Linked DNA regions of Caenorhabditis elegans. The protein of the gene in region 2 interacts with the protein of the main gene of each other region in a pairwise test. Each region holds a gene or a part of one and is shown on either strand. Other genes may lie near its edges.

Region 1 (8,776 bases), on a different chromosome or scaffold from region 2:
GTTTGTAGTTTATAGCCTCTCAGCCTCAACCAATATTTTGGTTGCGGCTCACACACTACAAACTACACATTTTGGGTGAAAAAAAAATGAAGGTATTCGCATAAAAATGGGCAATTTTTGAGGAAAAAACTGAGAAAATCGTTGAAAAATCAATATAAATTGCAATTAAAATGAATTTTGTCAATCAAAAACTGAATAAAAATTTAAATATGCACCGAGAAAATCAATGAAATGAGCGTATGAATAAGGCCACTGGGAAATCGAGTTAGTGTCAGAAATAGTACACAGTAAAAAAATGTAATTTACAATATAACAATCAAAAAAAATTTTAAAAATTCATGAATCCGGGTCCAAAATCTCTGTTTTCACATTAATCTTCGGCGGAAACTCGTCACAATTCGGAGTTTTCTGCAACAAAAAAAAATTAATTTTTTGTCAAATTTTCAGTGAAAATTCGATTTTTTTGCTACCTTCCAGTGTCTCCGGAGACTATCTGGGCTCTGATAGCAATATCCACATTTTTGACATTTATAGGCGTCCGGATTGCGGTGTACAACGATATGATGCTTGAGACGTCGTTCCGATGTGTACTTTTTCGGGCATTCCGGGCAATTGTGCTTCTGAAAATTCGAAATTGTTGGGCGAAATCCATGAAATTGTAGTTTTTAGTCATTTTTATAAGAAAAATCGGGAGAAAATCGGTTTTTTCGGCCGAAAATAGTTTTGGGTGAGGCTCAGGGACTACAAACTACAATTTTCTTAGCCTCAACCAGTTTTGCGTTAGTTTTTGGTGTTTTAGGATTGAAAAAGTGAGTTATAAGCTTAATACATTGCAGTTTTTAGTCATTTTCATATAAAAAAATTGCAGAAAAATCAGTTTTTTGGTCGAAAATGTTTTGGGTGAGGCTAACAGACTACAAACTACAATTTTTCTAGCCTCAACCAATTTTTTTCGTAAAAATTGAAGGTTATTATCGTAAAAAGTTAATAAATATCATGAAATAGCCGTTTTTACTCATTTTTATACAAAAAATTGGGGAAAACCGTTTTTTTTTTGGTCGAAAATGTTTTGGGTGAGGCTAACAGACTACAAACTACAATTTTTTTAGCCTCAACGAATTTTTTAATACGATTTTCAACTGAAAATTAGGTTTTTTAATAGTATAAATTAATTTTTAAGCGAAAATTGAATAAAATCCTATTTAAAATGATTGCGGTTTGTAGTTTGTAGTCTGTGAGCCTCAACCAAACGAATTTTCGTCCTATTGGCTGAAATTTGATGATTTTTCATGTTTTCAGGGCAAAAATTGTTAGAATCGGGGTTTTTTATCAGTACCATTTCACTTTGGCCATCCTCATCATCTTCGTGATCCTCTATTTCTTCCGGATGCTCAGATTTTGGAGAAATTACTCGATTTTCCACGATTTCTTGTGAAAATTCTGGATTTCTAGGATGAAAATGTGATAAATTCGAATAATGAGCTTGTTGCACAGATTGCGGGGGCGAATATTGATTTTTCGGTGAACAATTTTGAGGCACATTTTGCGAATTATTGTCGTAGACCAGCTCATATTCGTCGGTTTTCTGCTCCGCAAACATATTTCTCATTGTAGTGAGCACTTTTGGTCCATCTTCGTCTGATGTGTAGTTTGAGGAACAGGAAATATCCTGAAAAATTGGAAAAAAAAAGTGATTTTGCAGAAATTTTCGGGGAAAAACCTCTATTCCACTTTGTAAATTGAAGTCATCGCCGAAAAGCATGTAGTTTGGACAGGAAAAATCCTGTTTTCTTTCTGTCATCTGAAAAAAAAGCAAATTTAAATTTAAATTATTCAAAAAACAACTATTATCGTTGAAAATTGCTGCTAAAAATTAAATTAAATTAAATTAAATTAACCTACCGTAGCCATTAAAGGCGCATGCTGTGTTCCCTCGAATGGGTTTCTACACGAAATTGGAAAACGTCGGATTTCGGCAGGAATTCTGGAATTTAAAATCACTTTTCTCCAAAAATTAAATATATCGATTCATTTTCTTCACATTACAAACAAAAAAACACGTTCAAGTATCTGAAAATCACACAGAAAGCCGCCGTCAATAAAATTCGGTGGCCGCGTGGCCGTGGACTAGGTTTCGTGTAAAGGAACGGCCATCGACATTTTTTCGATTTAATTCTATTTTAGAATATTTTCAGCGCATTTTTAAAGCTTTTAAATAGAAAATCTAGCTGAAAATTTCGAATTTTTGTTAAAAAATGCTAGTTTCCACCTTTTTCCTCCCAAAAAAAACCAATAAGATCGATATTTCCTGCAGAAAATCACAAAACGAGGGAAATGGAAGATTGGACCAACTATCATCAGGCACAGCCGGCGGAAAGTGGTATGGCGTTGTGATTTTATTGAAAAATTGAATTTAAAATCGAAAAATTTGGCAAAAAAACACGAAAAAATCGATTTTTTTCGAGATTTTCGCGAAATTTTTTTAAATTTATTTAAAAATTAATTTTCGTCTATTTTCCAGTCGACTGGGCCCAGCTGGCCCAACAATGGATGGCGATGCGCGACACAGACGATCGTCGAGCCGGAAATTCACACGATTTCGCTCAAAATCATCAGCTCCCGTGGCATCAGCCACGTCATCCGGGCCCTCCGGCTCATCAGGATTGGGGCGATTGGTCCGCGAATCGGGACGAGCAGTGGAGAGGGCCGCCTGGGCCTTCTGGGCCGTCCGGGCCCCCCGTATATCATAATCAAGGCCCGCCTCGTGGATATCCACCACCACCGCCACAGGGAGCAGACACGTGGCGTGGAGCTCCTCCACCAGCTCACCACGGACACTTTGGACCGCCTGGACATCATTTCCAAGGCCCACCACAACATTTTCCGCCAGGGCCACCAAGGCCGCACTTTCCAGGCCCCCCAGGCCCACATAGACCTCCAGAGCACTACCCAGGGCCTCCAAGACCTCAGGCTCCAGCGGCACCACCACCGAAAAGCCTATTCCCGTCGGCCCAAAAGCCTAAGCCACTTTTTGCGGCGGCTTCAAGTGCTCCAAGCTTCTTCGGAGCACCTCAACGTCCACCACCGCAGCTGCACTTTTTCCAGGAGAGCCCCTCGGTCCAGCACGATTTTCAGCAGCCCGATTTCCAGCCCGATTTCCAGCCCGAAAACTACCAAAATTCCCCGGAACCCCCGGCCCAAGCTGGCCCGAAAGGTGTGCCTCCACCGGCTCCACTAATGGCTTCAGGGCCCACAAACCCGTATGCAATGAACAAAGAGGCCCGGAAAAAACTGCCGGCCTGGATCCTGGAAGGCCTTGAAAAGGCCGAACGGGAGAAGCAAAAGCAGTGGGAAAAAGAGGAAAAGCTGAAGAAAGCGGAAGAAGAAAAAGCCCGGCGAAGAGCCGAAGCTGGAAAGAGCAAATTTGACTCTTCGTCGGATGAAGAGAGCCCGGAAAATGAGAAATTTCCTGTTGGTAATGGAAAATCTGAATATCAGGAAGATGATAATGATTCGGAAGACGATTTGGAGGAGAGACGAGAGCAATTTGTACGGGAAATTCTAAATTCCTGAAATTTCCGCAAAAAAAAACCTAAAAACTACAAAAAATTTGAGAAAAAACGAAGATATTCTAAATTTTTAGAGGAAATTTTTCAAAATTTGAGAAAAAAAACCAATTTTTTGAAAAAAAAAATCCAGCTTTGTAGTTTATAGTCTCTCAGCCTCAACCAATATTTTTGGTTGAGGCTCACACACTACAAACTACAAAAAATTTTGAGAAAAAACCAAAAATTTGTCGAAGATTTTCTGAATTTTTAGAGAAAATTGCTAAAAAAATCGAGAAAAAACCGACGAAATTTGATCAATTTTTGTTGGTTCAGGCTCATGCTCAGACACTACAAACTACAATTTTCGGGTAGCCTCACCAAAATTATATTTTGAACAAAAAAATCAATTTTACAATGAAATTTTTGTATTTCGAGGAAAAATCGTTTCTTTTTTTACTTTTATTTCAAAAAAATGTTGAAAATTTGAAAATTTTAGCCGGCTAGACTACAAACTACAGAAATTTTTTTTTTTAAATTGTATTTTCCCAAGATTTTCTGAATTTTCCAGTGTAACTCCTAAATCCTAAAAATAATTCCTATAAAACACCGAGTTTTTGATAAAATTTCAAAAAATCTATTGGTTGAGGCTATGACAATTTGTAGTTTGTAGCCTCTCAGCCTCAACCAATATTTTGGTTGAGACTCACACACTACAAACTACAATTTTCGGGTAGCCTCACCAAAATTAAATTTTGAAAAAAAAATAAATTTTTCAATACAACTTTTGAATTTCGGCAAAAAAATCGTTTTTTTTTTCATTTTTAATTCAAAAAAGTTTAAAATTTTAGACATTTTAGTAGACATTGGCGTTTTTGATGCCAGCTAGACTACAAACTACATGAATTTAAAAAAAAAAAACAATTTTCCCTAGGTTTTCTCAATTTTTCAGCGTAAACCATAAAAATTCCAATAAAAAACCCAGTTTTTGATAAAATTTACAAAAAAAACATTGTTGAGGCTATATGACAATTTGTAGTTTGTAGTCTCAACCAATTCAAAAATTGGTCGAGGCTCAGACTACAAACTACAATTTTTAAGACAGCCTCACAGAAATTTAAATTTTCAAAAATTCAATTTTTTCAAGATTTTTTAAAAAATTTTCTAAAAAGTTTTGAAATTCGGGTAAAAAAAATTTTTTTGTTTCAAAAATTTTATAATTTTGATGCCCGCTAGACTACAAACTACAAAAATTTCGAAAACAAACCTTAAAATCTTCCCAAGATTTTCAGAATTTTTCAGTCAAAACCTTTAAAAATGCAATAAAAACCGAATTTTTGATAAAATTTCAAAAAATCTATTGGTTGAGGCTCGCGTTTTTGGAGGCTGTTAGACTACAAACTACAGAACTTTTGAAAAAAAAAAATTGAATTAAAAATTAAAAAAGGTCCATTAAGTGGAGAAAAACCTCTTAAAAATTTCAAAAAAAAAATTTTCGAAATTTTTTTTCCAGATACGCTGTGTGAAAACTCTAATGATGAACGTGCTCCTCGAGTCTTCGAATGACGTCATCATGCGTATAATACAAGAAGAGCTCCGTGAGCACGAAAAACTTCAATTTGAACGGAAAAAATTGGCAACTGCGCCGAAAATCATCGGCAACAGCTCAGCGTTGGCGGCTCTCGCGGCTTTTGGTATGGAGAAGCTCGCGAAAATTCGAAATTCGGAAAAAACAATTTTTTTGACCAGAAAATTCGGTTTTAAAAGTTTTTTCCAAGTTTTTAATTTAAAAAAAACCGAAAACTTTAACATTTTTGAAATTTTCTTCCAAAAAGCTATGAAAATCGTATAATTTTTCATAAAAAATTCATAAATTGTTCCAATTTTTCGACGAAATTTTTTTAAACAAAAAAAATTCGATTTTATCGAGTTTTTTGAGCTAAAATTTCAAAAAGTTTTTTAAAAATTGATTTAAAAAATTCGAAAAACGAAAATTTTCAACATTGTCTTCAAAAGTTTCACATTTTTTAAAAACTTTTTTCTAAAATTTTCGAATTTTCCATATTTTTTTTAAATTTAAAACAGTTACAATTTTGAAACAAATCGAATTTTCTGGTTGAAAAATTTGAGATTTTCCGAAAAAAAAAGTAAAATTTTTGATTTTTAAATCGAATTTTTCAAAAAAAAATAGCGAAAATTTAGATTTCCAGAAAATTTTAATTTTATATAAAAATTGTGTTCAAAAAGTTCCTGAAAAGCTCTTCTTTTTCCTAAAAATTCAAATTTTTCAGAAAAAGTTTTCAAAAAAACATTTTTTTTTTTTGGAAAAAATCGGTTTTCAGAAGCTTTTTTAATTAAATATTCGTTATAAAAAACGATTTTCGAACAATGTACCAAAAAAGAATTTTTAGTTTAAAAATTTCAATTTTTTCGATTAAAAATTCCATAAAATGTGAATTTTCAATTTCTCGAAAATTGTAAAACTAAAATTCAAATAAAAAAAGCCTTTTTTTGCAAAAAAAAAGTTGAGTTTTCAGTTAAAAAAAAAAACGTTTTTTAGAGCTAAAATGTCATATTTTTTGAAATTTTATTTCAAAAAATTCAAATTTTTCAAATTTTCCAGGAGACGGTGAGGATAGTGACAACAGCAGTGACGATGGAGTTGGCGACGACATGGAGCCACGGCAGGAGAGCAGTGGCTCGGCGGAGCTAAATGGAGCATCAGGGGCAGCAGAAGCAGGAACACCAGAAGCTGGTGGTGGAGAGTTCAAGGCTCCCGTGGGTATCCCTCGAAAGTTTAGTGTTAAGACAGATGATGTCAAACCATCAGTTAATGATGATGGTGAAGGTGTTGATGATTTACACGTTCCAGGTAAGGTAAACTAATGAAAAATATAAAAATATATTCACTTTTTGTTGAAAAAAATACCATTTTTGCTAATTTTTTCCCCGATTTTAGCGTCAAAAATGTGTTTTTCTGTAGTTTGTAGTCTATTAAAGCGCGAATTTTCAGCCAAAAAACTTCAAAAACCTACTGGAAATCCACTTTTTTGAATTAAAAATTCAAAAATTTCAGGAAAATCTGCAAAAAAAAAATGTTTTTTCAATATTTGTGTGAGGCTATGTTATTTTGTAGTTTGTAGTCTCAGCCTCAACCAATTTTTGAAATAATTGAGGCGCGCTGGAGACTACAAACTACAAGTTTTCTTCACAATTTTCACTTTTTTCCGCCAAATTTGAACTGAAATTTTTTGGGATTTTGGGACATTTGGGATTTTGGATTTTTGGGACAGAATGGTTTTGTAGTTTGTAGTCTCGGAGCGCCAATTTTCAGCCAAAAAAAATAATATTTTATTCCAAAAAACCCACTGGAATTCCACTTTTTTTGGATTAAAAATTCAGAAATTTTCGGAAAATCTGAAAAATTTTGAAAATTCAGTTAAAACCGCTTCTAGAACTCGAAAAATCTATTTTTTAAATCCAAAAAAAAATCTGAACATTCCTGAACATTTGGTGAGGCTTTGCTCATTTTGTAGTTTGTAGTCTGTGAGCCTCAACCAATTTTTGAAATAGTTGAGGCCGGAGACTACAAACTACAAGTTTTCTTCACTTTAGCAGAGATTTTTCGGGAAAATCTCACTTTTTATCTAAAAAATTTCAAAAATTCTTTTCTTTTTTCAATAAAATCTCTGAAAATCCAAATAAAAATCCAAAAAATTTTTTTTTTCTAATTTTGTAGTTTGTAGTCTGTGAGCCTCAACCAATTTTTGAATTGGTTGAGGCTACAAACTACACATATTTCCCAGCCTCAACCTAGATTTCTTCATATTTTACTCATTTTTTAAAGAATACAAATGAAAAGTGTGAATTTTTGAAATTTTCACTCGCAAACGTGTAGTTTGTAGTCAAAATATTGGGATTTTACTATTTTGGGTTAGGCTAAGCTGATTTTGTAGTTTGTAGTCTTCGGCTAAATATTTAGAAATTTCCTTTCAAAAAGTCTGTAGTTTGTAGTTTGAACCTTGATTGAGGCTGATGTGATTTTGTAGTTTGTAGTCATTCTCTAGACTACATAGAACTACACAATCTACACACAAAATTCCGGAAATAATATTCAAATTTTCAGATTCAAAAAACGGCGATAATAAAAAATCGGAAAAATCGTCGTCGGAAAAGAAGAGAGAACGAGAGATGAGAGACGATGAGAAGGAGAGAAAATCGAGTAAAAAGAGCAAAAAACGATCGAAAAGTCGTGAAAAAGAGCAATCTTCATCACGACATAATCACCGATCGAGAAGCCGATCTTCGGAACGGGATCGCCGTCGAAAACGGTCGAGAAGTTCGGAACGTCGGAGGGATCGGGGGGACAGGGATCGGCATAGTCGACGTTGATTTTTATTGATTTTAACGATAAATTATTGATTTTTCCGATTTTTACCGCCGATTTTTTCCACCAATTTCTTGCTCCAAATTCTCATTGTTCAAAGCCGCCCGTTTTTCTGGAAAACTCCCAAAAAATTATTTTTTTGTATTACCTATGATGACATTTTCCCATTGATTTTTTTTTGCTTAATGTATTTTGAAGTTTTGTTTTTTCGTTTTTGGTTTCAGCATATTTCAGAATCGCACAATAAATTCTAATTTCGCGCCTGAATTTTTGGAAAAATAACTAAAATTTGAATTTCCCGCTAAAATATTAAAAATAATTTGAAGTTCGCGCCAAATTTTTTGTTTTGAAAATTCGAATTTCCCGCTGAAATATTTAAAATTTTTGGAAAAATTACTAAAATTTGAATTCGCGCCTAAATTTTTGAAAAAAATACACATAATTTAAATTTCGCACCAATTTTTTTTTTCGAAAATTCAAATTTTTCGCAAAAATCATGGAATTTAACATTTTAATTATTCCGCCAAAATGTTTAATTTCCCTCAAAATTTGAATTCCGCGCTGAAATTTTTGAAAAATTCTATTTAAAATTAGCGCCAAGATTTTGTAAAATTTAAATTTCTCGCTAATAAATTTAAAACACATTGAAAAATTGAAGTTTGAATTTTCCTCAACAGATTGACTAGAATTATCAGTTTTGAACGCCTCTCACGAGACAAAAATCAATGGCCGAGTTTTCCCGAATTTTCTAGGCCATGCAGCAAAGGTCGGTCATGAATTCCTTACACTCAGAATATTATAGAAAAAATACGATCGCACAAAAATAAACAACGACGCAACGACA
Region 2 (5,734 bases):
AATTATTTCGAAGAGTTAAAATGTGATTTTAATGTGTTATCAAATATGGATATATTGTAAGTAACCAGTAGGATTCTTCGGATGATTTTTCAAAAATACATATTTGATATATACCGTATTTCTTCTATTAATATGGCCTCCCTATTAGACTTGCACTCCCTATTAGTATTGCTCCTTGAACACCCTCCGAAAATTAGTATTGCACTCCCTATTAGTGTTGCACTCCCTAATAGTATTGCGTCTACTTTTTTTTTGGTACAGACCCACCTCACTAATTTTGAGATTTTAACAACATTTTTTGCCTACTTTGCAACAATTTGTGGTAAAATTTTTATGAAATTGAAGTTATTGTACCTTTTTGTTGCAATTACAATCAAATTTTCACTTTCACACAAGGTTCGAGTTTTTTCAGAAAAAAAATCAGAAAGCTCAAAGTCAGAAAAATTTTCTGAAAATTAATATTGCACTCCCTAATAGTCTTGCACTCCCTATTAGTATTGCAAGCGGGAAGACCATCGAACAATAGTATTGCAGTCATATTAATAGAAGAAATACGGTATACAATTTTCAAAACTTCGAAACGAGGTTTATATTAGGTCTCCAAATAAGTTCCGGGTCAAAAATCATAACTTTGTTCGCTGTGTATCGATTTTTATGAAACTTTGGGAATTTATGTTATCAACCATGTTCTTTCATTTGACAATAGTCGCAAAAATTTTTGTACACCTCAAGTGTCCTAACTCGGAGCCAATTTTTCCAGGAATTTTTCCTATCTCGCTTCTTTTAACCTTTGAATTGAGGTTTGTGTGCGGATTTTGCTTTGCTTAAAATACATTATTAGAAAACGACAAAAGTTTAGAAAAAAATCCGTCCAAAAAATTTTTTTTAAATATATAATAATCGTTTTAGTTTGAAATTTGAATCTCGAGAAATATTCAAAAAACTCAAAAATTATCCGAAAAAATTATATTTTCTATTAACATTTTGGTGTATCGAAATAAATTGATATGTTTTGTATGTGTAAAAATAGTTCACGCTTGTTTACATCATTTTTGTAGGGAAAATCTAGAACTTTCGACAAAATTTTTTTTGAACATTTTTTGACGACCAACCAAAAAAAAATTTTTTGGACGGATTTTTTTCTAAAATTTTGTCGTTTTCTAATAATGTATTTTAAGCAAGGCGAAATCCGCACACAAACCTCAATTCAAAGGTCTTCTTTTAGAAGCGAGATAGGAAAAATGCCTGAAAAAATTGGCTCCGAGTTAGGACACTTGGGGTGGACAAAAAATTTTGTGACTGATGTCAAATGAAAGATCATTGTTGATAACATGAATTCCCAAAGTTTCATAAAAATCGATACACAGAGAACAAAGTTATGATTTTTGACCCGGAACTTATTTGGAGACCTAATAGATTTTTCACTTAAAAAATACATGTAAGAACTGTGATTTGATAAGCAAACACATACACAAATCCGGAACCGGAAGATTTTAAAATTAGTATTCTCTTTTCTATTTCATAAAACTTTTATAGTTTTGTGTTTAATCACGTTATGAAAAAGATCAATGATCTGAACTTCGTCAAATCTGATTTAGGATATATTTTGGTTGTTCAGCTCGGTTTGTCTGATGTAAATTATTTTTGAAAATTCTACTGAAACACCTAACTGATTTTATTTTTTCAGATAACAAAAAAAGCAGAGACAATGCCGTTTCTTCGAGAGTAACACAAAATTAGCAAAACTATTCAATATTGTCACATGCCGTGTCAATGTCTAGGGAATTGTAAAAATGGGTGTGGACTTGCGAACGTTTATATTCATTGTATACGCGTCGCACCAAATCCATCATAAAAATTGGATAGAAAGAATGAAGAACAGGAGGTTGGGTGTCCCCCGTGGTTCTCAGTCCCACACAGAAAGGAAAATGTGCCAGAGCACATTTTCTAATTGGTCAACGAGAAGAAGGGCGATTCGTCGTACTACTAACACAAGTCCAGCTGCTTCTCTGACCCAGGGAGAAAAAAGATGGGGGGAAATGGTAAATCTAGTTAAAACTGGAGTGAAGTGAATAAAATGCGAATAGTCAATAGGGGTCGAGCATTTATAACTGCGAATATGGCATTGAAACCTATTGAATTGGAATAACAAGTTGGAGAAGCGACGTTTTGCCGGGAGGCGGCAAAGCGGGAAAGGGGAGAGGAACTGGATTTATTCCATTTTTTTCTATTCTTCCAAACTTCCTTTCCCAAATAAATTATGCCTAAACCTTTTAAAAGTGTATAATTTTATAAATATTGTAGTTTGTAAAAAATTATGATCTAATTATTCTAGATGAGTAGAGAAGATACACTTGATTGGATAGTCTCCCATATTTGGATCACGCATGCGTTGTCCTCAAACTAGGGACCGGGAGTTGACGGACGAGGGAAGGGAGATGTGACCTCTTGGTTTGTCTGCGTCCCGTCTTCCACTCATGCTCTCTTTCAATCCACCATACCAGCTATTACTATCTCTACTCTCGTTTTCTTCCGCGTCTCGTTTACTTGTGACTTTAGAAGAGGATCTCTCACCCTCCCCACACCCTCTCCGGCATATATCTACAGCGAACGGGAATACGAAGGGAACCGAACACTTGGAGGATTAGAGAACCTAACCGCATAAAGCATTAAGAGCGGTTCTGAATCTGTCATCTACACTCGAAGGGCCTTATTGTGGGCAGACAATTTCGAATGAGATTGTGACAATTCATCGAAAAGTAGAAGGAACGTTAAAAACAATACATAAAACTTAACATACTGTTTTTCATGTTTTAACATGAACTTTTTTTTTTTGAGAAACTGAGAAATTACAAAATATTAGTTTTATAATACTTTACGTATAATTTATTTTACAATTTCGCCTTATTTTCTTTCAAAACTGAGAGCAGCTTCCTTTTTTTGAAAAATAGAAAAACAAAAGCTGATACTTCAGAAACAATCGTAAACTTTATCAGTACTTTTTTAATGAGTTTCAAACAATAATCATTTTTTTAGGAAAACTTTTGAATCAACAAATATTCATTAGTTTCGTCAAGTTAATATTTTTCAAGGCTGAATTTTTCCAAATGGTATGAAATTATACCATTCAATTTTTTTTTTGAAATCCAATGCCAAACTCAAATGTTGAAATTATATTTGTTTTTAGTTGAAAAGTAATTTTCACAATTTTCAAGCGCAAAATGCTTACCACATGTGAAGAGTTCATTGTCATTGATTTCTTTCCCAGTACTATGTGAATGACCCCTGAAAAACATTTTCTTCTTTATTAGTATATGTTGTTCGTAAAATTAAAATAAACAAAATACCATGGCCTTATAGTTTTTGAGAAGAATTATGAAATGAACTGAACTCACATTTTTGTTAAGTCCTACATGGGAGAATGTTTTGATGTTTTCAAAGTTAGAAAAGCCTGAAAATTATGAAGTTTGGCTTGAATTAAAAAAAAGAAATAAAAAGAAAAAATCGAAGAAGACAAAAAAAAAAGAACATGGAGGAAAAAAGAAAGGACGCGCAATTGGTGTGAAGGTATGTGTCGAGTACCCGGCTGCCCTCTCTTTTCTCATAACCCATCCAGTGACCAGCAGAGCGCGCTTGCATACTTCTCACTCGTTGTTCACTGCTTATTACTGCGCACTTGGTTCAACACTAACGCCTATTCGCTAGTCAAACAATAACAACAGTTCCTGTCAGATAAATAGTACTAAGCTAGAGGAGATTGGAAACGCGGAGTAGAGACTACAAATACTTTGAACTGATTGAACTTATATGCATACGAAATGAATGGATAATGTTTAAACTGGATATAATTAGTTTTTAGTTGTTTTACAAAATTGTGGTGATTTAATAATTAAAAAAAAGTTATGCTATTCGGATATTTGTGTATTCGCAAAAACCATAGTTTTAAACCAATTAACAAATTGTCAATTACAAATCTAAAATCTAACAATTATTGACAAGACCATACATATTAATAAACAAAAAAGTTTTGCATTGTAAAACCAATCAAAACTTGTCGCCGTTCCTTTTTCGCTATGTTTTATACAAATCTGCGATACGAATTCGTATCGGTTGAAAGTGTGGGGATGAAGTGTGAAATGAAACAAAAAGTGTGATCACAAAGAATGGGACGAGAGGCCAGGAGGTACTCAAAACCCCCGCCAATTTTGTCCCATAAAAATTGGAGCGACGAAAGAGTATGGGAATGCAGTTTGAAATAGAAAAGTTGAACAATAGGTAGTATTCAGATTGACGCATTTTTTAAATGGAAATCAAAACTAAAAGAATCAAAATTTTGAAGAAACAGTACGGTATGCCTCTGAGGGTTGGTTGAGTGAATTCTAACTCATTAGAAAATTGCTGTCCTACTATTTTGAAAACAATAAAAGGGCTCCTTAGACTAAAATATGCTGAAAAGTACCTATCAAGTTTTAAATAAGTTTAAAAATTTTTGGAGATTTGCATTGTTTCACGGACTATATAATTGTACATGAAGCACTAATTTTAAATTGTGTGTTTAAGAATAATTTGTTAATTGAGAACAAATTCCATACTTGAAACACTCAATAAGAACGCACTCTAATGCATACAATAATTCTTTAAAAAAACTCCCAAGTTTTAATAATTGCTGACGAAGATGTTTTGGAAAACGTGATCTCCAAGTAATGAATGCTTGGCAATTACAAATAACTTTTTGAAATCAAAAGATTATATGTGGTTGTATTTCTCCATAAAAAAGTGGAATTGTGTGTAGGGTTTTCAAAAGATGAAAATAGGTTTGTTGTTATAACATGCATATGTAATATGACTATGAAACTGTGCTATTTTGCTAGTGTTAGTGATTTTGATGGTGACAAAGTGTTCTATTTTCGATAATTTTTTTTATTTTTCGTCTTTTCTCCTCGTTTAATTGTTGGAAATTACACATTTACATATTAAGTCTACTAAAATTCTTTCACATTTACATATTAAGTCTACTAAAATTTCTCCCATCCTATTTTTATTTAAACCAGTCGTTAAAAAAAATAGCTAAAATAAATCCAAATACGAAAAAAAGTTGAAAGTAAACTTTTGTAGAGTTTTTTGCGTGTCGAAGAACTTTGAAAATAGTAAAGTTTTGTGAAATGCGCAGAACAAAAACTGAAACTAAATGGGAACACACAAAAACACAAGAGAAGACGAACATCGACAAAAAAGTTGGTAGTAGCTGCTGGTTGGCGAGGAGAGGATAATATCCCGAACACGCCAATAGAATGAAGAGGGACAAAAAAGAACACAACAAGATGTCGATGCAAAGGACGAATTATTCCTTTTTTCCTTCCATTTTTGCCATTGCGTTCATTCGAAACAACTTCTGGAAAGGAGATTCCTAACAAAGTCAGGATTGAAAAGAACGACGTAGTACATATCTAGTGAATTTATTGGTTTTTTAAAATTGCATACACATATACCTTAATTTTTTTTATTATAAAACCCAAAAACGTCGCCTCTCATTTAAATTCTGTTTTCCAGTTACAATGTTTTTTTTAATTGAAAAAGAGTGAAATTACCGATATTTTAATTTTTGAAAACTTTTTGAAAGTTTTTATTTAAAATTAATTTTTGAGACGCACATCTGTGTGTTATTTTTTCTATTTTTGTATAGTTCATTTTCATCAGTATTTTTTTGTGTAGGGCCGAATAGCAAAACGCAGTT

What was found. Proteins that work in one complex are often made in the same cells at the same time.
Region 1: the proteins of abl-1 (region 2) and rsy-1 interact in a two-hybrid assay, tested with the Caenorhabditis elegans proteins (2 studies listed by BioGRID).

The regions. Positions count from the first base shown.
Region 1 is NC_003279.8:11,215,534-11,224,309, reverse strand, and holds rsy-1 (Arginine/serine-rich protein PNISR), read left to right. Parts: upstream 1-2,314; 5' UTR 2,315-2,334; coding exon 2,335-2,380; intron 2,381-2,521; coding exon 2,522-3,549; intron 3,550-5,058; coding exon 5,059-5,239; intron 5,240-6,168; coding exon 6,169-6,417; intron 6,418-7,671; coding exon 7,672-7,937; 3' UTR 7,938-8,133; downstream 8,134-8,776. Other genes in the region: Y53H1A.2 (C2H2-type domain-containing protein), read right to left, coding at 337-408, 471-620, 1,337-1,669, 1,721-1,801, 1,903-1,911.
Region 2 is NC_003284.9:10,620,750-10,626,483, forward strand, and holds the start of abl-1 (Tyrosine-protein kinase abl-1), read right to left. Parts: upstream 3,441-5,734; 5' UTR 3,398-3,440; coding exon 3,396-3,397; intron 3,286-3,395; coding exon 3,230-3,285; intron 1,959-3,229; exon of another isoform or gene 1,834-1,958; intron 1-1,833. UniProt on the Caenorhabditis elegans protein: Functions downstream of migratory protein mig-13 and is involved in Q neuroblast migration during larval development.